Arabidopsis thaliana: one gene and its partners. The protein of the gene in region 1 interacts with the protein of each later gene in a biochemical or structural test. Each region holds a gene or a part of one and is shown in the gene's direction. Other genes may lie near its edges. The genes, in order: OST1, PP2CA, RBOH F and EEL.

Evidence for each region.
Region 2: of the proteins of OST1 (region 1) and PP2CA, one has a biochemical effect on the other in vitro, tested with the Arabidopsis thaliana proteins (one study listed by BioGRID).
Region 3: of the proteins of OST1 (region 1) and RBOH F, one has a biochemical effect on the other in vitro, tested with the Arabidopsis thaliana proteins (one study listed by BioGRID).
Region 4: of the proteins of OST1 (region 1) and EEL, one has a biochemical effect on the other in vitro, tested with the Arabidopsis thaliana proteins (one study listed by BioGRID).

Annotation. Positions count from the first base shown.
Region 1 is NC_003075.7:16,269,966-16,275,371, forward strand, and holds OST1 (Protein kinase superfamily protein), read left to right. Parts: upstream 1-1,779; 5' UTR 1,780-2,398; coding exon 2,399-2,569; intron 2,570-2,880; coding exon 2,881-2,955; intron 2,956-3,050; coding exon 3,051-3,152; intron 3,153-3,236; coding exon 3,237-3,290; intron 3,291-3,374; coding exon 3,375-3,467; intron 3,468-3,536; coding exon 3,537-3,629; intron 3,630-3,884; coding exon 3,885-3,989; intron 3,990-4,094; coding exon 4,095-4,193; intron 4,194-4,305; coding exon 4,306-4,504; coding exon of another isoform or gene 4,505-4,551; exon of another isoform or gene 4,552-4,594; coding exon 4,595-4,692; 3' UTR 4,693-4,860; downstream 4,861-5,406. Other genes in the region: AT4G33945 (ARM repeat superfamily protein), read left to right, coding at 153-331, 426-549.
Region 2 is NC_003074.8:3,583,219-3,587,799, reverse strand, and holds PP2CA (protein phosphatase 2CA), read left to right. Parts: upstream 1-1,949; 5' UTR 1,950-2,150; coding exon 2,151-2,594; intron 2,595-2,679; coding exon 2,680-3,015; intron 3,016-3,107; coding exon 3,108-3,213; intron 3,214-3,305; coding exon 3,306-3,619; 3' UTR 3,620-4,018; downstream 4,019-4,581. UniProt on the Arabidopsis thaliana protein: Major negative regulator of abscisic acid (ABA) responses during seed germination and cold acclimation. Confers insensitivity to ABA.
Region 3 is NC_003070.9:23,768,175-23,775,878, forward strand, and holds the start of RBOH F (respiratory burst oxidase protein F), read left to right. Parts: upstream 1-1,599; 5' UTR 1,600-2,091; coding exon 2,092-2,755; intron 2,756-2,842; coding exon 2,843-3,002; intron 3,003-3,325; coding exon 3,326-3,374; intron 3,375-3,868; coding exon 3,869-3,982; intron 3,983-4,542; coding exon 4,543-4,965; intron 4,966-5,874; coding exon 5,875-6,261; intron 6,262-6,342; coding exon 6,343-6,438; intron 6,439-6,535; coding exon 6,536-6,651; intron 6,652-6,722; coding exon 6,723-6,890; intron 6,891-6,964; coding exon 6,965-7,124; intron 7,125-7,212; coding exon 7,213-7,392; intron 7,393-7,491; coding exon 7,492-7,620; intron 7,621-7,704.
Region 4 is NC_003071.7:17,127,785-17,133,007, forward strand, and holds EEL (Basic-leucine zipper (bZIP) transcription factor family protein), read left to right. Parts: upstream 1-1,968; 5' UTR 1,969-1,973; coding exon 1,974-1,991; exon of another isoform or gene 1,992-2,785; intron 2,786-2,989; exon of another isoform or gene 2,990-3,455; coding exon 3,456-4,100; intron 4,101-4,186; coding exon 4,187-4,258; coding exon of another isoform or gene 4,259-4,291; exon of another isoform or gene 4,292-4,306; intron 4,307-4,343; coding exon 4,344-4,424; 3' UTR 4,425-4,602; downstream 4,603-5,223. Other genes in the region: AT2G41060 (RNA-binding (RRM/RBD/RNP motifs) family protein), read left to right, coding at 1-709; AT2G41080 (pentatricopeptide (PPR) repeat protein), read left to right, coding at 4,818-5,223. UniProt on the Arabidopsis thaliana protein: Binds to the embryo specification element and the ABA-responsive element (ABRE) of the Dc3 gene promoter and to the ABRE of the Em1 gene promoter. Could participate in abscisic acid-regulated gene expression during seed development.

The DNA of each region.
Region 1 (5,406 bases):
CTGTCTAGAGAAGATACTTGTGACTACAGGTCACGTCTTTGGCAGTTTTCCACTAGATAGAACGTAATGTCGTGTGAAGAATGTTTCTTGTAGCATTAGGGTCTGAGTGCATAATCCTTGTGGTTGATCCAAGATATACTTGATTGGTTCAGGTGATGTTGATAATCTCTATAATCTGTCTGAGATCACCAGACCACGCAGCCAAGGCTATAGAAGCTGGAGCTGGTGATCTAGCGGTCCAAGCAATGAAGAGGTTCCCAGTAGCTGCTCAAATGCAGAGAAACGCTTGCAACATGATACGGAACATTGCTGTCAGAAGTGCAGAGAACAGGTTTTTGCTCTGTTTCCAATTCTTGTCATCCAACAATATGCACATATCGCAAACTCTTTTATAATATCAAGTTCTGTCTGCATGCACACTACAGAACTATTCTGCTTGCTAATGGAATCGAGAAGCTGATAAGAACTGCTAAAGCCAACAATGAGACATGCAGAGCCGCTGCAACTGATGCACTGAGAGACCTTGGCCTTGATAACTACAATAACTAAGGTCAATCTTTCTCCATTGGTTGGTACTCGCAACAACCGGAATGAATCCAGTTTTTTTTTTCAAAAATTTCATAAACAGTTTGCATTGAGTTCTCTCTTTTGGGTAGAAGGCATTCCGATCTAGTCTTTTTTGCAACGATTGCTTTTGTTCGAATGCTTGAACATGTAGTAAAATTGAAAGGAATTGATTGAAAATTTCGGTGAAAGGTACTCTAAATAGTAAAAAAGTAAATAGAGAAACAGAGGCTTCACAATGAGAAATTTTCATTCATTCACTAAAATCATTCGTTTAGTCAATGAATTTCCTTTATTTAGAAGAAATCGATTTTAGTTTGAAACAAGGACAAAATGTTTGTTTGACTAAAGGGAAGAGAAACAAAGACAAAATGTTCACGTCCATGGAATGATCGAGCTCTAGAAGAGTGTATTGGGAATATTAAGTACGGATATATGTTTTTAAAAGATGATTAAAAAAAAAGTTTGCAGCAAAATCGTCATGTGGATGCGCATAAACAAAAACTTTAGATAGTAAAAATGATGGGCTATAGTGATGATGAGTGCAACTCTATCGGTTTCAGCTTTTAGGTGAAGATCTGACAAGCTAGCCAACAATATCTCGACATTTGTGGTAACTTGTTTTTCTTTTATTTTCCGTTTTTAAATGCGGAAACCCTTTTTATATACCGAAATAGAAAGTAAATCTTTTTAGTGGTCATTAATACATGGAGGTTCCCATGATTAGCCATAAGCTTGTTTAATGCGAGTATATGTTTCATCAGCTCCGTTTCAGGACATATTTAAGGGGCAAAATTAATCCAGTAGCCAAAAATGTACATATGTAAGGGACATATTACGATATTAATATATAGATCCACTAACAGAAAAACTAATTGTTAATTTAAATTATTTCTATTTCATTTTTCACTGTGTTTGATTAAATTAAATTGGGATATAAAATCAATTCAAAATCTGTTATTTTAAATCTCATACCATTCTAGTGCTATATTTTTGAAAACTTAGATATTTTTAGTAACTGTTCTAGGCATAAATTTAATCAATTAATATTTTCATATTTTTTGCTATACTATTTACAATAAGACATATAATAAATCGGAAAAAATTAATGCATAATATTATGGAGAGATAAAACTTACTGAAAAATAAAGAGTAACAAATCACATAGTTTATACTAATACTTTGCCAATAAAAAGAAAGTTTATACTAATTAAAATATTATTTTCTATACTAGTCACGGTAAAAAAAAACATTTCTAAAAACTACAGGCCCCATTGTTTGTCAGAACGTTGTAAGTAGAAAGGGTAAATCCGTCATTTCAAACTATCTCCCATGCTTTGACAAATCACAATTCAACAGTTCACAGAAAAAGCGAAAACTTCTTCTATCTCTCTCATCTTTCTGTTTTGTATAGCTTACTTCAAGCTGTGGTTTAAACAGAACAGAGAAAGCTGTTTCCTTTTTATATTGACAGAGAAAAGGAAAGCTGATAGAGAGAGAGACAGAGAGAGAGAAACAGAGTTCAAGATCACGAGCCTTCCTTCTTCTTCTTCTTCTTCATCGAGAGCGATCAAAGGAACAAAAAGGATCTCAAGAAACCCACTTGTGTTGTTGGTTAGATACTTCACGGGTCTCTGAAAACGTCTCTTTCTCACAACCATAACTTGATCACCCAATACTCCTTTTCTCATCTTAAAGGCTCAAATTCATCCACGTCACACCGTTGTTCATTTCCTCTGATGTCTTGGTGTCGTTAGATATTGTCTCCCAAAAAAGAAATCTTCTTGACACAGAGATTGAAGTCGCAAAGAGACAGAGGAAAGAGGGGGAGAAAATGGATCGACCAGCAGTGAGTGGTCCAATGGATTTGCCGATTATGCACGATAGTGATAGGTATGAACTCGTCAAGGATATTGGCTCCGGTAATTTTGGAGTTGCGAGATTGATGAGAGACAAGCAAAGTAATGAGCTTGTTGCTGTTAAATATATCGAGAGAGGTGAGAAGGTCAGTTTATTTTCTTCTTGTTTTTTCTCCTTAGTCCAATTTTATTTTATGTTTCAATTCACTAGGTTCTTGAATTCAAAAGAAATCATTTTTGTGTGTTCATCATCCAATGAGAGATGTGTGTTTGGTTACTTTATGGTTATGAATGGTTTAACCCTATAGATTTACAAAATTGATTGATTTTTATGGAAGACCAAATTTGCTCTGCTTTGCTTTATGACTTATGTTGTATAGTGTTGTTTTAAAGGCTCTAGGTGTTTCTTTTGTTATGGAACGTGGTATTAATGGTGGGACTTTTTGTATTTGTACAGATAGATGAAAATGTAAAAAGGGAGATAATCAACCACAGGTCCTTAAGACATCCCAATATCGTTAGATTCAAAGAGGTTTGTTTTCAACTCTCTTTTAAGCTGTTTTCTTATTATTAACATTTTCAGGAAAAAAAAGGAATTCTATAATTTAATCCTTAGGATTGCTTCAGGTTATATTAACACCAACCCATTTAGCCATTGTTATGGAATATGCATCTGGAGGAGAACTTTTCGAGCGAATCTGCAATGCAGGCCGCTTCAGCGAAGACGAGGTTGTTCTCTCTTTTTTTTCTTGCTTTGATGATTAATCGAAGATTCAAAATGCTGAGGCTAATATATCGTTTACTATCATGTAGGCGAGGTTTTTCTTCCAGCAACTCATTTCAGGAGTTAGTTACTGTCATGCTATGGTAATGAAAAATGCTCTCTATCAAATCAATGCTTCATCCTCTGTGAAATTCAGCTGACTTAAGAAGTTAAATTTTATGTTGTAGCAAGTATGTCACCGAGACTTAAAGCTCGAGAATACGTTATTAGATGGTAGCCCGGCCCCTCGTCTAAAGATATGTGATTTCGGATATTCTAAGGTATCTTTGAAAACATTTCAGAAACTCTGAGTTAGTTAGTATCTCTAAGCTTTGTGTTTTCTTTTTCAGTCATCAGTGTTACATTCGCAACCAAAATCAACTGTTGGAACTCCTGCTTACATCGCTCCTGAGGTTTTACTAAAGAAAGAATATGATGGAAAGGTACTCCATTTTCATAGTTCCCAAACTAGTATGATAACCATATCTTATAGAAAGAACAATCTTTGTATTTTTATCCTCTGATTATAGATAGGGGAAACATGCTTTCTCTTGATGAAAGCTCACACAAATAAAACAATCTTGGCTCTTCAAGAATTTTGGTGAAGAAAGCTATTAAGAGTCTGATTTGTAAACTGATAATTCTTGAGTTTTGGTTGAATTAGTCAAATGCATCCTAATGTTCTTCTTTTTTTTCAGGTTGCAGATGTTTGGTCTTGTGGGGTTACTCTGTATGTCATGCTGGTTGGAGCATATCCTTTCGAAGATCCCGAGGAACCAAAGAATTTCAGGAAAACTATACATGTGAGCCTTTCACTTTCTTCATGCTTCAATAGTTGAAAAATGTAATTATGGATTTTATTACTTGCTAGCTAAACTATCTGTTCTCTTGTGAAAATATTTGCTCAGAGAATCCTGAATGTTCAGTATGCTATTCCGGATTATGTTCACATATCTCCTGAATGTCGCCATTTGATCTCCAGAATATTTGTTGCTGACCCTGCAAAGGTAAAGGAAGGATCATGAAAGCTGCATTTGTTGATTTATTTGTGAATTTTCTTTATAGTATGACTGAAAAGAGAACTTTGCATTTTGGCCCTCTTGGTTGGTTTCTTGGCAGAGGATATCAATTCCTGAAATAAGGAACCATGAATGGTTTCTAAAGAATCTACCGGCAGATCTAATGAACGATAACACGATGACCACTCAGTTTGATGAATCGGATCAACCGGGCCAAAGCATAGAAGAAATTATGCAGATCATTGCAGAAGCAACTGTTCCTCCTGCAGGCACTCAGAATCTGAACCATTACCTCACAGGTGAGACAACACAAAACATAAACTTTTCGATTTCTTGTCTTTTTTAATGCTTCTCAATGTTTGAAAAACTTATCATTAATGGATAAACAGGAAGCTTGGACATAGATGACGATATGGAGGAAGACTTAGAGAGCGACCTTGATGATCTTGACATCGACAGTAGCGGAGAGATTGTGTACGCAATGTGATACTATATATCTATTTGCATGGTTTCTGCTACAAAAATGTCAAACAAAAAATGTTGAAGAATAAGATTAAGATGTTTTGCTTGCTATTGAGTTGGCCCAACTTTGTCTCAATGAGTACACTTTGAATCTTTGATATGCAAAAGACTAAATTTCTAAACAAAAGTGAAAAAAAAAAAAAAAAACATTTTCATCAATCAGTATTTTATCTACTCTCTCTAGTATTTTTTGTTTGTTTTTCTAATAATACTAGAAACAAAATTGTTAAACTAATTTGGAGAAGTTGACAACTAAACAACATATAGGCTATGCAAAAGATAAAGAAATCGATATTCTGTAGTACTATACAGATTAAAGTGGGTACTTGATAATATCAAACTGAAGTAAATAGATGGGGCATATCTTGAAGACTTGAACTATATGGAAATAAGATGATATTCCCATTTTCACAAAAAATACAAAAACAGCATAAATGTAGATGGAACACATTCATTAATAATTTAATATGCATGTTATATGTTCAGAAGGACATACGTACGGTAATTCGCTTTAAATTAAAAAAGATGCTTATTCACGCATCTTCGTTTTTTTTCTTTTCTAAATATTTTTCGAATAATAAATTGATAATGAACCAGTACTTGATAGTTGTTCTTGTTCATTGAAATTAATATTATTCCTACTTTAAAAAATACTCAATGTTTTTAATTTTTTTAAAAA
Region 2 (4,581 bases), on another chromosome or scaffold:
CCTTTTCATGGACTGTGGAATCGGTGATGTAAGTGAAACCAAGCACAAGTGGGAGGACGAACATTACCACGTGTCGAGTATGCAACACCTATATCGACTAAGCATAGAAGGAATCATGAACAAATAAATAAATAAATCTTGTAATCAATCAATACGAAACCAAAATATCTCAAGCATGGACAATGCGTGTGAATGAGATGAAACCTTTGTAGTCAGATGACTCAGATGATTGATAGTATAAAGTCTTCTATATGTAATTATGGATTGTGGTGTAGGTTTTAATCGTTTTCCAAGTTATGAAATTCTAACATCAAAACTAGGACTAGAAAAAAAACCAAAGCCGAAGATTTATTATATTGGGTTCGAAATTAAACTTGAACCCGAAGATTTACTATATTGGATCCTAAATTTTTTAATCCAAAAAATCTAAGTCGAATCCGAAAATACCGGTATTTTATTCGAAAATCTAAATTTATTCGAAATCTAAAATTTTATCCAAAAATTCAGGTATTTACTCAAAAATTCGGATATCGGTTCTAAAAGGACCCTGAAAATTTATATCCAAACCGATTAAAAACCGATTGGATACAAACTTAAACCAAACCGATATTTTGGATTTATCCCATTGAATCTTAAACTTTTATATCCAAAAAAATCATATCTAATCGGGTTTTACCCGAACTTAACCCAAATGCCCACCTTTAATTATTCAAAACCAAAAAAGAAGTGTTTGATGCTGAGGTTTGAACTCATCAGATACACGTAACTATTTTCCAATTTATTTTCGTTTATGTGCATTTCAGAATTTCAAGCATAAATATACTCTTATTGTTTAAACATTTCAAATTGCATGTGTGAAATAATATCAGAGTTAGAATATATGTTAATCTTCTCTTCTCCTAGATTCAGTTAGATACGTTTCTATCTTCTTTTAGGCAACATCTCTTGTACAAATAGTCTCTTTGGCAATTCAATACAATCAACCTTTTACGATATATATATTTGTTATTTCTTGTACAAATAGGATCAAAATTGTTATTTCTGAAGCAAATTTTCTTTAGTTTGGATGTCAATTATATCCTCGATTAATATGTAATCACGGAACGGATTCACGATGCGTTATTTTAGAAGCAAATTTATACTTGATAGTACGTTCAGAGGCATCGCTTTTGTACAAATTGAAGCGGGTTTGTTCAATATTTAAAATAACACAGGAAACATTCAAATGTATTATTGATGTTGCTTAGGTTTGTGAAATGATATGAACCATATCGTATATATTACTAGATTTTTCTTATATGTTTTAAGGGTAGTGGGGCTGACCTATCATTCTGTTTGGCATTACCAATCAGACTATCAGAGTATTCACCATTCAGGATTCCATAACTAGAAAAAGAAGGGGTTTACATTTTCTCATACTGTATAATTTTCTACTATCAGAGATTTTATCGATTACATTAATCTCATAGTGATTATTCTGATTTATAAAAAAGTTGACAAAATAATTAAAACCAGTATTTTATAACAAGATTGTCTCTCTCCCATGGCCATTATTTTGACCTCTGACTTATTTAAATCTTAATTAACAGCATAATACTGTATTAAGCGTATTTAAATGAAACAAAATAAAAGAAAAAAAGAACAAAACGAAAGAGTGGACCACATGCGTGTCAAGAAAGGCCGGTCGTTACCGTTAAGGTGTGTCGAACTGTGATTGGGCCACGTTAACGGCGTATCCAAAAGAAAGAAAGGGCACGTGTATAGATCTAGGAAAAAAGAAAGAATGGACGGTTTAGATTGTATCTAGGTACCAGGAAATGGAACGTCACACCAAACGGTACGTGTCGGATCCTGCCCGTTGATGCTGACGGTCAGCAACTTCCCCTTATTCATGCCCCCCTGCCCGTTAATTACGTGTAACCCTTCCATGCGAAAATCAAACCCTTTTTTTTTTTTGCGTTCTTCTTCAACTTTTCTTTTTAAATCAAACCTTTTCTTTTTAAAATCACATTGCATTTCCTAACGCTCAACAAAATCTCTCTCTACTAATATCTCTCTCTCTCTCTCTCTATTGTTGAAGAAGACTCATAATCGGAGATTGTTTGTTTTTGGTTTGCTCTGTAAATTGGAGAAGTTTTGTTAGAGATCAAATGGCTGGGATTTGTTGCGGTGTTGTTGGAGAGACTGAACCGGCGGCACCGGTTGATTCAACTTCTCGAGCTTCTCTTAGACGGAGGTTAGATCTACTTCCGTCGATCAAAATTGTTGCTGACTCCGCCGTTGCTCCTCCGCTTGAAAACTGCCGTAAACGGCAGAAGCGTGAGACAGTAGTGCTCTCGACGTTACCGGGAAATCTAGATCTGGATTCGAATGTGAGGAGTGAGAATAAGAAGGCTAGATCAGCGGTTACGAATTCAAATTCTGTTACGGAAGCAGAGAGTTTCTTTTCCGATGTACCTAAGATCGGTACGACGTCGGTTTGTGGTAGAAGACGAGACATGGAAGACGCTGTCTCGATTCATCCTTCGTTTCTTCAACGGAACTCTGAGAATCATCATTTCTACGGTGTCTTTGACGGCCATGGCTGCTCTCATGTACGTTAATTTCCTCTGTTTAGTAATATTTTTTTCTTTTGTTTGTGATTAGTTACTAATTAGGGTTTTGTTTGGTTGATTTTAGGTTGCGGAGAAGTGCAGAGAACGGTTGCATGATATAGTGAAGAAGGAAGTTGAAGTTATGGCTTCCGACGAGTGGACAGAGACGATGGTTAAGAGTTTTCAAAAAATGGATAAAGAAGTTAGCCAACGAGAGTGTAACTTAGTTGTTAATGGTGCTACTCGGAGTATGAAAAATTCTTGTAGATGTGAATTGCAGTCTCCTCAGTGTGACGCCGTCGGATCCACCGCTGTTGTATCGGTTGTCACGCCGGAGAAGATCATTGTTTCTAATTGCGGTGATTCACGGGCTGTGCTTTGTCGTAACGGTGTAGCCATTCCTCTCTCCGTAGATCACAAGGTAGTTAAAATTATGTCTTATATAGAATTACGAATTGGTTAGTATGAATCAAGATGGCATGGTTCTAAGAGTTTTTGTTTTGTGATGAACAGCCGGATCGACCCGATGAATTGATTCGGATCCAACAAGCTGGTGGGCGAGTTATATATTGGGATGGAGCTAGGGTTCTTGGAGTTCTTGCCATGTCTAGAGCAATTGGTGAGTGAATCTCTCTTGTGATTTGACTTTTTAGGCTATTTTGAATTACACGTTTGAATTTAATCTGATGATTATTGTTTTTGTTTGTATAGGTGATAATTACTTGAAACCGTATGTGATTCCGGATCCGGAGGTAACAGTGACGGATCGAACTGATGAGGATGAGTGTTTGATCTTGGCGAGTGATGGACTATGGGATGTTGTACCAAACGAGACGGCGTGTGGCGTGGCTCGCATGTGCCTTCGAGGTGCTGGTGCGGGTGACGACTCAGATGCGGCGCACAATGCGTGCTCCGATGCGGCGTTGCTCTTAACAAAGTTGGCTCTAGCAAGACAGAGCTCCGATAACGTGAGCGTCGTTGTGGTTGACTTGAGGAAGAGGAGGAATAATCAAGCGTCGTCTTAATAATTAGTGTTATAATTAGTAGTAGTATTAGAATAATTGTTACATAGCCTAATTGTAATTGTATTCTTTTTATTTTTCTATTTTAGTTTTTCTCATTTTAAGGTGTTTTTTCTTTTCTATTTTAGTTAGCTCTTAATTCAGGCTGGGGAAGAAAAAGAGCTGATTAAATAGTTTGAGTATTTTTCTTATTTTTCTATTCAGGTAATATTATACATGTATTCTTTTAGTATGGTCGTTGGAAATGTAATAATCTAATTCAGAGGGGAAAAATGTTAAAATGAAAGAACAGATTATGCGTATTTACCATTTTAAAACTTCGGTTAATGTTATTCGATCCGAACTGGTTTAGTATGAGTCTCGACGATGATTTGAATCCAAACCGGTTACTTACTAATCTTCCCCTATCTTAAGAAGATTTTATTTATTTTATTGGTATGGGGTCGTATGGGAGACTCGCGTGTCGTAGACCGCGGCATTTTAGCACATAATTGTAATTAAAAGATTCAAGGATAATATTAGAAACATAAATCAACAAAAATATATATATATCTTGGTGGAAGAGACTAATCTGGACAATCAATATAAGAACTAGAAAGTACAATGATTTATTAATTCTTTTAATACTAATGAAGATAGTTAAGTTAAGAGACTTGTCTGGCAACATTGTCGAATGCTTAATGTCAGTTAAGGTCGGAATCAATAATCAATTAAACAGATTTTGATTAAATTGACTAGAAAATATCAACTAGGAGGGTAAGAAAAAGGAATATGATCTTCACATTCTTTTATAAATAAATTAATATCAACTTGAACAAAAAATAATACATACTTTTAACCGTCCATTACTAGCCACTTGCCAGTTGCCACAATGACCAGATAATAAAATCTTATTCTATTCAATCATGTTTTTATAAACCCTTCACATTAATGTTTGTTAGGTATTAATCATACGTTAGGTTATG
Region 3 (7,704 bases), on another chromosome or scaffold:
AAAATGAGATTAGTTACGTTTGAAAATCAAATCTTTTCACATTTCACTTTCATACTTGGAGTTTTTGTTTTGTTTTATAACTTGTGTATTTACTACTACAACTGTTTGCACAACATAACATTGAATTGAAATCTTTATATATTAAAATGAAAACACTCAACCCCTTAAAATAGAAATGGTTCACATTCGAGTTTGGTTATTATTTTCTGATAACTGAATTAGATGCCGAACCAAAACCATACAAATTTCCGAGAGATGTAGAATGATGGGCATTTTAATCGTACCAAACAGAACCGAACCAAACCAAACAACCGAACCGTAGTGACGTAGTCTACATCTAACCCATTTGGTTAAACTTTTTTCAACCCTAATGGTTCGGTTTGAACCATTAACCCTAACTGTTTTTTAATTTATAATTAATTTCGTTAGGTAGATAATATTACATGCTTGATTTTGGTTATTTATCAAAACTAAGTTTACTTAGTTCTTTCAATCCTTAAATCTCTAATTCTAAGCTACAATTTTATAAGGTATGGAAAAAACTATTCATATCTCATTTCTATTCCGTTACTTTTCAAAAATTTCAAGTTTTTTTTGACTAAGAAAAGATTTTATAAAAAAAATATGGCTAATAACCACAACGTTTTTCTTGAGTATTATTATTAATAGACTAAACAAATACAAATAAAGTTTACCCCACTCGAATATAAATATTTTTGAGGAAATGTATCTACTATCTTCTTAAACAACGTCGTGTCATTACTCAAAAGTGTCCAACGGGCAATACAAGATTATGATGGACGACCCATGATTAAACATGTTCGATCTAATCTAAAATCTTTTTAGTCTATATTAGTGAAGCACTGAAAACAAAATGTTGTTATCAAATTTGATTTGTTCTTGTTAACAATAAATTCTTTTCAAAAGTGAGCAAAATATTTGTAGTCGTGGACTTAACAACAATACATCAATCGCTAATAAAACACTGGCTTCCACAAATGATGTATAAAAACTATATTCAAAGTCGTCGTCCTTGTTTTTTCTCTCATCAGTTCACAAACAAGCTCAACTTTGGATAAAACGCGTCGGACGTACGAAAAAAAGAAGACTTGCAGAGAAACAACAGTCACACACACAATCACCTCAGATTTAAAAATATTCCTTTGGTATTACTTGAACTAACGTCATCCGAGTTGTTTCTATATATATGTACATATATTCTTTACATGTTATTTATAGCTAATTGGAAGTTTTTAGTGCTTATTGCTAGCTACTAATTAATAACGAGTTTAATTCTAATGAAAATTGGACACAAAATCTGATACTAAGTTGCCTATATAAGATTAGAAATTTAAACTAATAACAGTTACATATATACAAAATCGTGTTGTACCTCATATAATTATGGTGCATTTGAATAAGATATCTATTGAAAAATATATAATGAAAAATTAAATTGGTACTCTAATCAAAAAAAAAAAAAATCTTTAACACATCAAATGTTCAATTTTTTTAAAAGTCCAAATCGTTTTGATATTGTTTTTTATTGAAGAGCAAACTACTATAAGAAAAATATTTGAAGAAACATAGCATTTTCCCATGCATAAACTAGAATGACCAACAAAGATACTCTCAAAGTCTCACTTGTCTAAAAAACAGATAAAAATCATTTCCAATTTTGAGAAAAGGAAAAAAAACAACTCCAATAATACTTTTTGATTTTCTTTTCGTTGCATTAAAATAAATGTGGCAAAAATCCAATAATATTACTATTATAAGTTAAAAAAACTCAAAAAAAAAAAAAAGTATATTCCGTCAACTTTTTCTCAGTCCGGTTCAATCATCTCCATCATCGTTGATCTCTCTCTCTCCGTCAACGTTCTCTCTATAAAGCAGAGAGTTTCACAGCGCGTGAAAAATGGCTTTTCCCACTTAGCCACAACGACGCGTTTCAATTCTCCATCTCTCCCTCTCTCTCTCTCTTTCTTCAAAGATTCCACCAACCTATACATATACTTATATATAATCTATGCTACGTGTATATACTTCCGATATCCTTCAACCAACTCTTTGAATTCCGACTTTGGATCTATGAAACCGTTCTCAAAGAACGATCGGCGACGGTGGTCATTTGATTCAGTTTCCGCCGGAAAAACCGCCGTCGGAAGTGCATCAACTTCACCGGGAACTGAATACTCCATTAACGGTGATCAAGAGTTCGTTGAAGTCACAATCGATCTTCAAGACGATGACACAATCGTTCTTCGTAGCGTCGAGCCAGCAACCGCCATTAATGTCATCGGAGATATCTCCGACGACAACACCGGAATAATGACTCCGGTTTCGATTTCGAGATCTCCGACGATGAAACGAACTTCATCTAATCGGTTCCGACAATTCTCACAAGAGCTTAAAGCCGAAGCTGTGGCGAAAGCGAAACAGTTATCTCAGGAGTTGAAACGATTCTCATGGTCTCGTTCTTTCTCAGGTAACTTAACCACTACTAGTACCGCCGCTAATCAAAGCGGCGGTGCTGGTGGTGGTTTGGTGAACTCGGCTTTAGAAGCGCGAGCGTTGCGAAAGCAACGTGCTCAGTTAGATCGGACTCGGTCTAGTGCTCAAAGAGCTCTTCGTGGTTTGAGATTCATTAGCAATAAGCAAAAGAACGTTGATGGTTGGAACGATGTTCAATCAAATTTCGAAAAATTCGAAAAAAATGGTTACATCTATCGCTCCGATTTCGCTCAATGCATAGGTTCGTAAAAACTCTAGAAGAAACTCTAGAGATTTCGAAATTTACTCAAATCTTGATTTGTGTTTTTTTTGTTGTTGTTGTTGACAGGAATGAAAGATTCGAAAGAATTTGCATTGGAACTGTTCGATGCATTGAGTAGAAGAAGAAGATTAAAAGTAGAGAAAATCAATCACGATGAGCTTTATGAGTATTGGTCACAAATCAACGACGAGAGTTTTGATTCTCGTCTCCAGATCTTCTTCGACATGTACGTAACAGAAAAAGTTACTTAAACTTAATAATTACTTTAATTTAATTACTCTCTTAATCATATTTTTACTGATAATCAATGATTATTTTAGAAAGGTTTCTAACAGTCATTTTACTATAAAGAGATCCCATATTTTCAGCGTTTTTCCAGATCAGTCTTCCTAATTAATTAAACAGTCTAGTAATTTAATTTGATGCATGTGTGCAGAAATTATTGTTCCTTACGATGCGTATGTTTTAATTTTTGTAACTATTGTTTTTAAATATAAACCTTTGACTTTCATTGAAGATAATTAATTACATAATTAATCATTTTTACAGAGTGGACAAGAATGAAGATGGGAGAATTACAGAAGAGGAAGTAAAAGAGGTAATTAAATGCTAGCTAACTAACACAATTAGTGTTATCAATTCTGTCACTATTTAATTAAACATAAATTAATGTCATATTTTTTCGTTAAGGTTTAAGAATAAAATATAAACTGGGACTGGTAGTCAAAATAGATTTTTTAAATTTATAATCAAAGTTAGGCGGGGATTTGGTGACCTTAAATCTCATGAAATGCTGATATACTAACCACTCCATTTAAATTTTAAAAATATCAAAGAACCAAAATACGAATTTTCTTGTCATTGATTTGAGTTTAAACCATGTTCGTTTAGATTCTTATCTGTAACTAAGTTTTCAATTATGCTGAAATATGTTATTGTTTAATTAGTTTTGACTAATAATCAACTTGTTTTAATATAATCTAATATTTGACGGTGACACAAGATACAATAGAGATGTTTTACTTAACATTTTTTGAAGAAAAAAATCCTTCTTATCGTTATGCTTTTTTGTATTTTCTTTGAATATGTTAGATAATAATGTTGAGTGCATCTGCAAATAAGCTATCAAGATTAAAGGAACAAGCAGAGGAATATGCAGCTTTGATTATGGAAGAGTTAGATCCTGAAAGACTTGGCTACATAGAGGTTGGTTTTAATACACACTGTACAAATCTTTGAATCTTTTTCCACCATCACATGCTTTGTTTCCGTGCTTGCATGATGTGAGTATTATATTATTGCAAAATATTTTCAATACTTTCGTTACCCAAACGGAATAAAGTATGTAAAACCGCCGCCCATAAATAGGAATTCAATAATTCTTTTATATAATGTATGACCTCACATGTTATAAGAAAAAAGGAGCCAATTTCTTTTACTATAGCATTAAATTATTTCATGTTTGCTTTTTTTCTACTCTTATCTCATTTTGCTGACACCTAGAATAGTTGTCCATTATAAAGTATAGATTCAGTAGCTCAAATATAGTATAAAAACTTTTTTTTTTTCTATTTCATCAACTCAATGGTAGGTGAAGTAGTTACAATAGACTATTTCAATTGCTAGCTAGAAGATAGAGTTTGAAAAGAAAAAAAAAACATGTGACTGCTACATCTTGAATGTTATATTTATCTATAGAAGTTAAATGATTCATCAAGGCAAATATTTCATACATTTTAATGCTCTTTTATTTTCTTCTTGTGTAGCTATGGCAACTAGAGACTTTGCTTCTACAAAAAGACACATACCTCAATTACAGTCAAGCATTGAGCTATACGAGCCAAGCATTGAGCCAAAACCTTCAAGGGTTAAGGGGAAAGAGTCGAATACATAGAATGAGTTCGGATTTCGTCTACATTATGCAAGAGAATTGGAAAAGGATATGGGTTTTATCCTTATGGATCATGATCATGATCGGATTATTCTTGTGGAAATTCTTCCAATACAAGCAAAAAGATGCATTTCATGTGATGGGATATTGTTTACTCACAGCCAAAGGAGCAGCTGAAACACTTAAATTCAACATGGCTCTAATACTTTTCCCAGTTTGCAGAAACACCATTACTTGGCTTAGATCCACAAGACTCTCTTACTTCGTTCCTTTTGATGATAATATCAACTTCCACAAGGTTAGTGAGCTATAAACCTTTTTGTTTGTTTGTTTTTTACTTTTGATTTCTACTTTTTAGGGTCCCATAAGAACTTTCTTTTCGTGCTTCTATAGAAGTCAAAACCAATACTAATTAGAGATACAAAATCCTCATCGAACGCAATGTGCTGTCAAAAAAGCTGAGATTGTTGTGGGGCTCATATTCTTTGTGCACGCACTGGAACATTGACATGACAGCTAAACAGCTATTTCGCTTTCTCTTTTTTTTTTTTTTTTTGGTTCTCTCTTTCTCATTTCTTACATTTTTTTGCCACTAAAGAAAAGTGAATAAGATTAAGGCATGTGGAATTTAGGTTTGGTTAGGAAAGTCTTATACGGAATTAGAGCTGAACTTTTAATTCAGTTTGAAATTTTTTGTCTCTATGTTGCAAAAAAAACAACTTCATATACAGCTGTTTTGAATAAAATTTTGAAAAGCTATACCGAATTAAAATCAATTTTTTTTGTTTAGTTCGAATAAAATTAGTCTGGTTTTCTTATATGGTTTGGTTCGGTTTTGCACCAAAGATAACTTCACATGCAAATTTTTATTTTCTAATTCAGTTAAGTACATTACATATAGTAAGATTGGTTTTGGTATATTTAAATAACAAATTAAATTTTTCATTAGTTGCAGTTTATTTGGTTTGCTTTGGTTGTATAAGCTTGGTTTCAGTAAATAAACTAAGATTAATTTTGGTTTGGTCTTGGTTTTGGTTTTAGAAATGCTCACCTTTAAAAGTGAAGGTTGTGTTGTAGTGGGGAAAAAATTCTTATTTGATCATTTTAAACTTTCATAAAGTAAGAAACCAATGCTCTACTCACTAAACTATTTTGATAGAAAATTTTAACTCACTGCTCTTTTTTTTGGTTTTTTTGTTATGTGCAGACAATTGCTGGAGCCATTGTAGTAGCTGTGATCCTTCATATTGGAGACCATCTTGCTTGTGATTTCCCTAGAATTGTTAGAGCCACCGAATACGATTACAATCGGTATCTGTTTCATTACTTTCAAACAAAACAGCCAACATACTTCGACCTCGTTAAGGGACCTGAAGGAATCACTGGGATTTTAATGGTCATTTTGATGATTATTTCATTCACATTAGCAACAAGATGGTTTAGGCGTAACCTAGTCAAGCTTCCTAAGCCATTTGATCGACTAACCGGTTTTAACGCCTTTTGGTATTCGCATCATTTGTTCGTCATTGTTTATATCTTGCTTATTCTTCATGGTATCTTCCTCTATTTCGCCAAGCCTTGGTATGTTCGTACGGTAAGTCTCCATGATTCTAAGCTTAGTAATTGTTGACCATATATAATCTTGATTTTGATTTTGAGATGTTGTTTTTTGCAGACATGGATGTATCTTGCAGTACCAGTTTTACTCTATGGTGGAGAAAGAACACTTAGGTACTTCCGTTCTGGTTCTTATTCGGTTCGACTGCTTAAGGTAAGTGAAAAACAAAAACTAAAACAGAGGACTCTGTTTTCTTTACTTTCTCATTGTCTTGTAGAATAAGCTAACTTCTTTTGATTTTTCCTTGTAGGTTGCTATATATCCTGGTAATGTTCTAACGCTACAAATGTCGAAACCAACTCAATTTCGTTACAAAAGCGGACAATACATGTTTGTCCAATGTCCTGCGGTTTCGCCATTCGAGTGGTAAGAATTATTCATAACAGTTTTTGATACCAACCAAATCATCTGTCTTACTGATTTGTATTTCGTTTTAGGCATCCATTCTCAATTACTTCCGCACCTGAAGATGATTATATCAGCATTCACATTAGACAACTTGGTGATTGGACTCAAGAACTCAAAAGAGTATTCTCTGAAGTTTGTGAGCCACCGGTTGGCGGTAAAAGCGGACTTCTCAGAGCCGACGAAACAACAAAGAAAAGGTATAACACGAAAACAAAACCAAACACTTATAAATTAACCAAATGCTGATATGTTTAGTTAAATGTTGTTTCAGTTTGCCAAAGCTATTGATAGATGGACCGTACGGTGCACCAGCACAAGATTATAGGAAATATGATGTTCTCTTATTAGTTGGTCTTGGCATTGGTGCAACTCCATTTATCAGTATCTTGAAAGATTTGCTTAACAACATTGTTAAAATGGAAGAGCATGCGGTAATAAACCAAGTCTTATCTTATTCTCTCTTGTGCAGACAAATAAATAAAGATGTCAAGTTTGATAAAAATGTTTTTACGTCTTCAGGATTCGATCTCGGATTTCAGTAGATCATCAGAATACAGCACAGGAAGCAACGGTGACACGCCAAGACGAAAGAGAATACTAAAAACCACAAATGCTTATTTCTACTGGGTCACAAGAGAACAAGGCTCTTTTGATTGGTTCAAAGGTGTCATGAACGAAGTTGCAGAACTTGACCAACGGGTAATAAACAAACTCAAAACATTTCTTGACAGACACAATCAAAATTTTCCCGAGAAGATTCAATGTGAGAAAATCAAAAAAAAAAATTGTGTGGAACAGGGTGTGATAGAGATGCATAACTATTTAACAAGTGTGTATGAAGAAGGTGATGCTCGTTCTGCTCTCATTACAATGGTTCAAGCTCTTAATCATGCCAAAAATGGTGTCGACATTGTCTCTGGCACTAGGGTACGTTACTTTCTTCTTAAGTCGTGATTCTTTTGATTTCCTAACACGGTCCCCAAATTATAAATTGTGGAAAAATGAACCCAC
Region 4 (5,223 bases), on another chromosome or scaffold:
TGCTCAGCATTTCAATCCTGAGAATGTTCAGAGGAAGATTTATGTCAGTAACGTTAGTGCAGACATTGATCCGCAGAAGTTGCTGGAGTTTTTCTCAAGGTTTGGGGAGATAGAAGAAGGTCCTTTGGGGCTTGATAAAGCTACTGGGAGACCTAAAGGTTTCGCTTTGTTTGTCTATAGATCCCTAGAAAGTGCCAAGAAGGCATTGGAGGAGCCACACAAGACTTTTGAAGGCCATGTCTTGCATTGCCACAAAGCAAATGATGGGCCAAAACAGGTTAAGCAACATCAACATAACCATAACTCTCACAATCAAAATTCCCGTTACCAAAGGAACGACAACAATGGTTATGGTGCCCCTGGAGGCCATGGACATTTCATAGCTGGTAATAACCAAGCTGTGCAGGCGTTTAATCCGGCCATTGGCCAGGCCCTCACAGCTTTGCTGGCATCTCAGGGTGCTGGGTTGGGTTTAAACCAAGCATTTGGGCAGGCTTTGTTGGGGACATTAGGGACAGCTAGCCCAGGAGCTGTAGGTGGAATGCCAAGTGGCTATGGTACTCAAGCAAATATCTCACCTGGGGTCTATCCTGGGTACGGTGCTCAAGCCGGGTACCAGGGCGGTTATCAGACTCAGCAACCTGGTCAGGGCGGTGCGGGAAGAGGGCAGCATGGTGCTGGGTATGGTGGTCCTTACATGGGTCGTTAGATTAGCCACTCAGGTAATTATTTTCAGCTTCTTTTCATCTATTTCATTGATGTTCTGTATCAGAAGACTTTTTTTGTAGTTCGCTTGGTTCCCTTGTGTATTTCAAGACATGGACTTGCTGTATTTTGACCTTTTCATGGTTACTCCATTATGTTAAACTTTTTGCGTTGCAAGATCATTTTGTTTTCAAAGTTCCTGTGACTTTGTTGTGTTTCTGAAGGGTGTTAGGTTTTGCATCAGTTTATAAAAGTCTTCTCTTAATTTCTTAATTCATTGTGCAGATATTCCAATACAGTACTTTTTAAAATTGGCCTGGTGAATCTTCTGAAGTTATTAAGGAGCTGATGCAAATGGAGTTGTTTAGTTTTTGGATGAAATGTTACTCTTTCGTGTCTTCAAAATACATGACTCTTCAAACCTTTCAAGAAGTTTTAGTTTTCCCCTACTTGTTTTCTCAACTCTTTTTATGATATCCCAAATACACTGTTCTGATTTAACAACTATCGTTTCTGTTTTAAACTTTTGGGAACGTTTTCATTTGTAAAACTTAAACAGTGTTCCTCATGGACACACAAACGCTTTCACTATGTTTGAATCCGTATTTTCCATTTTCTCTTAATCAGACTCGTTTTTATTGGTTCTCGCTATGTTTCGCGGTTTTGTGGAATTTTTCCATGCACGTAATTCCTCTTAAGATTTTGACCTTGTGAGAGTATGATCACACATCACTATGCATATGTACATAACGGCTTATCTTGATTACCACATATTATATCTGCTTAATCCTTATTCCTCTTGCAGGTAATTTAAGAGCAAGCTGAACGGTCAACACTTACGCCCAACAAAAATCTATGGGGTACCAAATATTTGAATGCCACCTATCTGCTTTTTCTTTTATATATACTGAAAAGTGAAAAGGGATGAATCTATGAATTGGTAGCTTTATAACTAAAGAACGAATTAAGCAAAAGTTGTTTTCTTGTTTAACTTAGCTAGGCATCTACCTGAATCCAAAAGAGCAACTTGTTTTGTTTTGTACTAATAAGTATCAACAAGTCTTGACCTGCACATGTCAAGTTTTTGACTTGATTTAGAGCAGCTTGTTTCTTGTGTGTCCTTGGAGTTCTCTACTGTTTCTATAGCTTTGAATGAGCTTTCCATTTGACCACATCTCAAAAAATTTGGTAATGTGCCTTAGAATAACACCGAGTTTGGTAACACAGCTGGAATTGGTGTTTTGCTGTGGCATCATGGGAGCTCTGAAATGTCTTCCCAGTTAAAGGTGAGTATAACTGTTTGCATTGTGAAGATTTGTATTAACTATAGAACATTGAATTGATGGTGTTAAGTTCTTACACAAGCGTGCTTCTCGGTTTGAACTGTTTCTTTTGTATGTTGAATCAGAGCTTAGTTTATAGGAACCAGAGTATCTACTTAGTCATTCTCTAATGCTAAGTGCTAAGGTTCTACCTAGTTGCCCTCTAGGCCCTTATGTTATTGATAACTTATGAAGCTATTTGAACACTTGATTCTTAGGAGACCTAAGTTGGTACAGCCAGATAGAGTGTATGTTCTTGTTCTCTATGTGACAGGATCAAGCTGCCACACATAGTTCAAGGGTATGCTCTGTGTGGGTTTGCTCAGATTGAGGACAAATCTATACAAGGAAGTAGAGTCTTTGACATTTTGATGTTGTATGATAAGAAGAAGAAAGGAGAGTAATAAAGAAAGAGAAAAGGGAAACAGAAACACGTGGGAGAACATCCCAAAGAGGAAGCACACGCGGATCTTCATGCAAAGCTCCCCGATTCTCCCATGTGGTCCCTTTCTCCCTTTGTCCCCCTCCTCTTTCTTCTTTTCTCATTTTACTCCTTTTTTTACCATTATACAACGAATCTTTTTTATCATAATTTTTTGGTTTTGGTTTATTTTCCAATAACACCTTCTTGGTTACTTCCCATTCTCACTTTTTCATATAAGAAACTCACTTTGGGAAACTTATGTTTGAGAATGACAAGTCTTTTTAGAGAAAGTGATGTAACAAATCTAAAGTGATTATATAATAACCTTGCACAATGTTTTTGATTTTTTGTAAGATTCGAATATTAGGTTTATTATTCGTAGGGAATAAACTTACTTTCAAAAGCGTTCATAAGTTAATACTTTCATATATGATCATAAGTACGGACACTATTGTTTTTTGTTTGTTTGTGTTTATTCTAAAAGAAAGTAGCTTTTAATTGAAATGTCCTCAGAGGCACAGTTTAAAGTTCGAGTGTAACAGTTTCTAAGGCAAAATAAGCTCTCTTTCTACTATTTCTCTTTCTCTTTCTACTATTTCTCTCCTGTGGAGAAACTCAGGAGATAGAGAGAGAGAGAGAGAAGAGAAGAGAGCATGTATGTTTGGTTTTATAATCTCTCTACTCATACCAAAGATTTGTCTCAGACCCACCACTTGGACAGAGAGAACCCAAGCTCCTTTCTCTCTTTTTCTCGATCTACTCCTTCTTAATCTCCTTTTTTGAAACTTGAAGCCACTTTCAACATCATCCTTAAACTTTTGTTCCCTTATTCACAATCTCCTGCCACCTCTCATTTCTCTAGTTGAGTTGTTATCTGCGTTTTTAAGCACTCGAATACTGCATGCAAATTCCCTGATTGTTTGTTAGTACCTTAGAGATTCTCGATTTTTTAGTTGTTTAGATTGAACCAGGATTACTAAATTGTTATTGTTTTCTGTGTAAAGGCTACATATATGGGTTCTATTAGAGGAAACATTGAAGAGCCTATATCTCAGTCATTAACGAGGCAGAACTCTCTCTATAGCTTAAAGCTCCATGAGGTTCAAACCCACTTAGGAAGTTCTGGAAAACCACTAGGAAGCATGAACCTTGATGAGCTTCTCAAGACTGTCTTGCCACCAGCTGAGGAAGGGCTTGTTCGTCAGGGAAGCTTGACGTTACCTCGAGATCTCAGTAAAAAGACAGTTGATGAGGTCTGGAGAGATATCCAACAGGACAAGAATGGAAACGGTACTAGTACTACTACTACTCATAAGCAGCCTACACTCGGTGAAATAACACTTGAGGATTTGTTGTTGAGAGCTGGTGTAGTGACTGAGACAGTAGTCCCTCAAGAAAATGTTGTTAACATAGCTTCAAATGGGCAATGGGTTGAGTATCATCATCAGCCTCAACAACAACAAGGGTTTATGACATATCCGGTTTGCGAGATGCAAGATATGGTGATGATGGGTGGATTATCGGATACACCACAAGCGCCTGGGAGGAAAAGAGTAGCTGGAGAGATTGTGGAGAAGACTGTTGAGAGGAGACAGAAGAGGATGATCAAGAACAGAGAATCTGCAGCACGTTCACGAGCTAGGAAACAGGTTAAGAACTTGACATTGTGTTTTTACTTAGTTAATATTTGTTTGTTTGTTGTTAGTTGGTCTAGTCATCACATTGAAACTTGCAGGCTTATACACATGAATTAGAGATCAAGGTTTCAAGGTTAGAAGAAGAAAACGAAAAACTTCGGAGGCTAAAGGTAAAAATCCCATCTCTGCAGCTTGCTTCATGATCTAGTGTCGTTTTAGATTTAGTGGTTTTCTTTAATCTGATTATAATGGCAGGAGGTGGAGAAGATCCTACCAAGTGAACCACCACCAGATCCTAAGTGGAAGCTCCGGCGAACAAACTCTGCTTCTCTCTGATCCTAAAGACTCTTCTTTCTTTCTTCTTCTTTGTGTTGGTTTATATCAGACCGCTTTGTTCTTTGTATATTGTGTAGACTTTATTGACTTTGAACAGCATGTCTTTATAAACATTTCTTGAGTGTATTCCTCTTTTGCAGCTAGTTCAAACTTTTTGAGTACAAACACTAGTTCAAGTATGAATTCGACAATAGTTTTAGTACCTTACACAATTAAGCAATAGATTGATGGTTATGCTAAACCGTTTTTGATACTTGGTTACTAATACTTATTGGGCTTCTGATTACGGCCCAATTAAATCGAGTGTCTAATTATTCGTTCCTTCTTCTTCTTCGAGCAACGACAGTCCCTGAGAATCCAAATCGGAAACAATCTCCGGCAATTCAATAGTAAATGCGTTGCTCAGTTTCCTCTGTTGTTCGTCCACTATCAGTAGATCCTGCGACAGCCATAGCTACTTTGTGCTCAAAGGGTAACCTTCGAGAAGCTTTCCAGAGATTCCGACTCAACATCTTCACAAACACTTCTCTCTTCACCCCTTTTATTCAATCATGCACCACCAGACAATCTCTTCCGTCCGGAAAGCAGCTCCATTGTCTTCTCGTCGTCTCCGGATTCTCCTCCGACAAGTTCATATGCAATCATCTGATGAGCATGTACTCCAAGCTTGGAGATTTTCCTTCCGCTGTTGCAGTATATGGACGTATGCGTAAGAAGAATTATATGTCATCTAACATACTCATCAATGGGTATGTTCGTGCAGGCGATTTGGTAAATGCCCGGAAGGTGTTTGATGAAA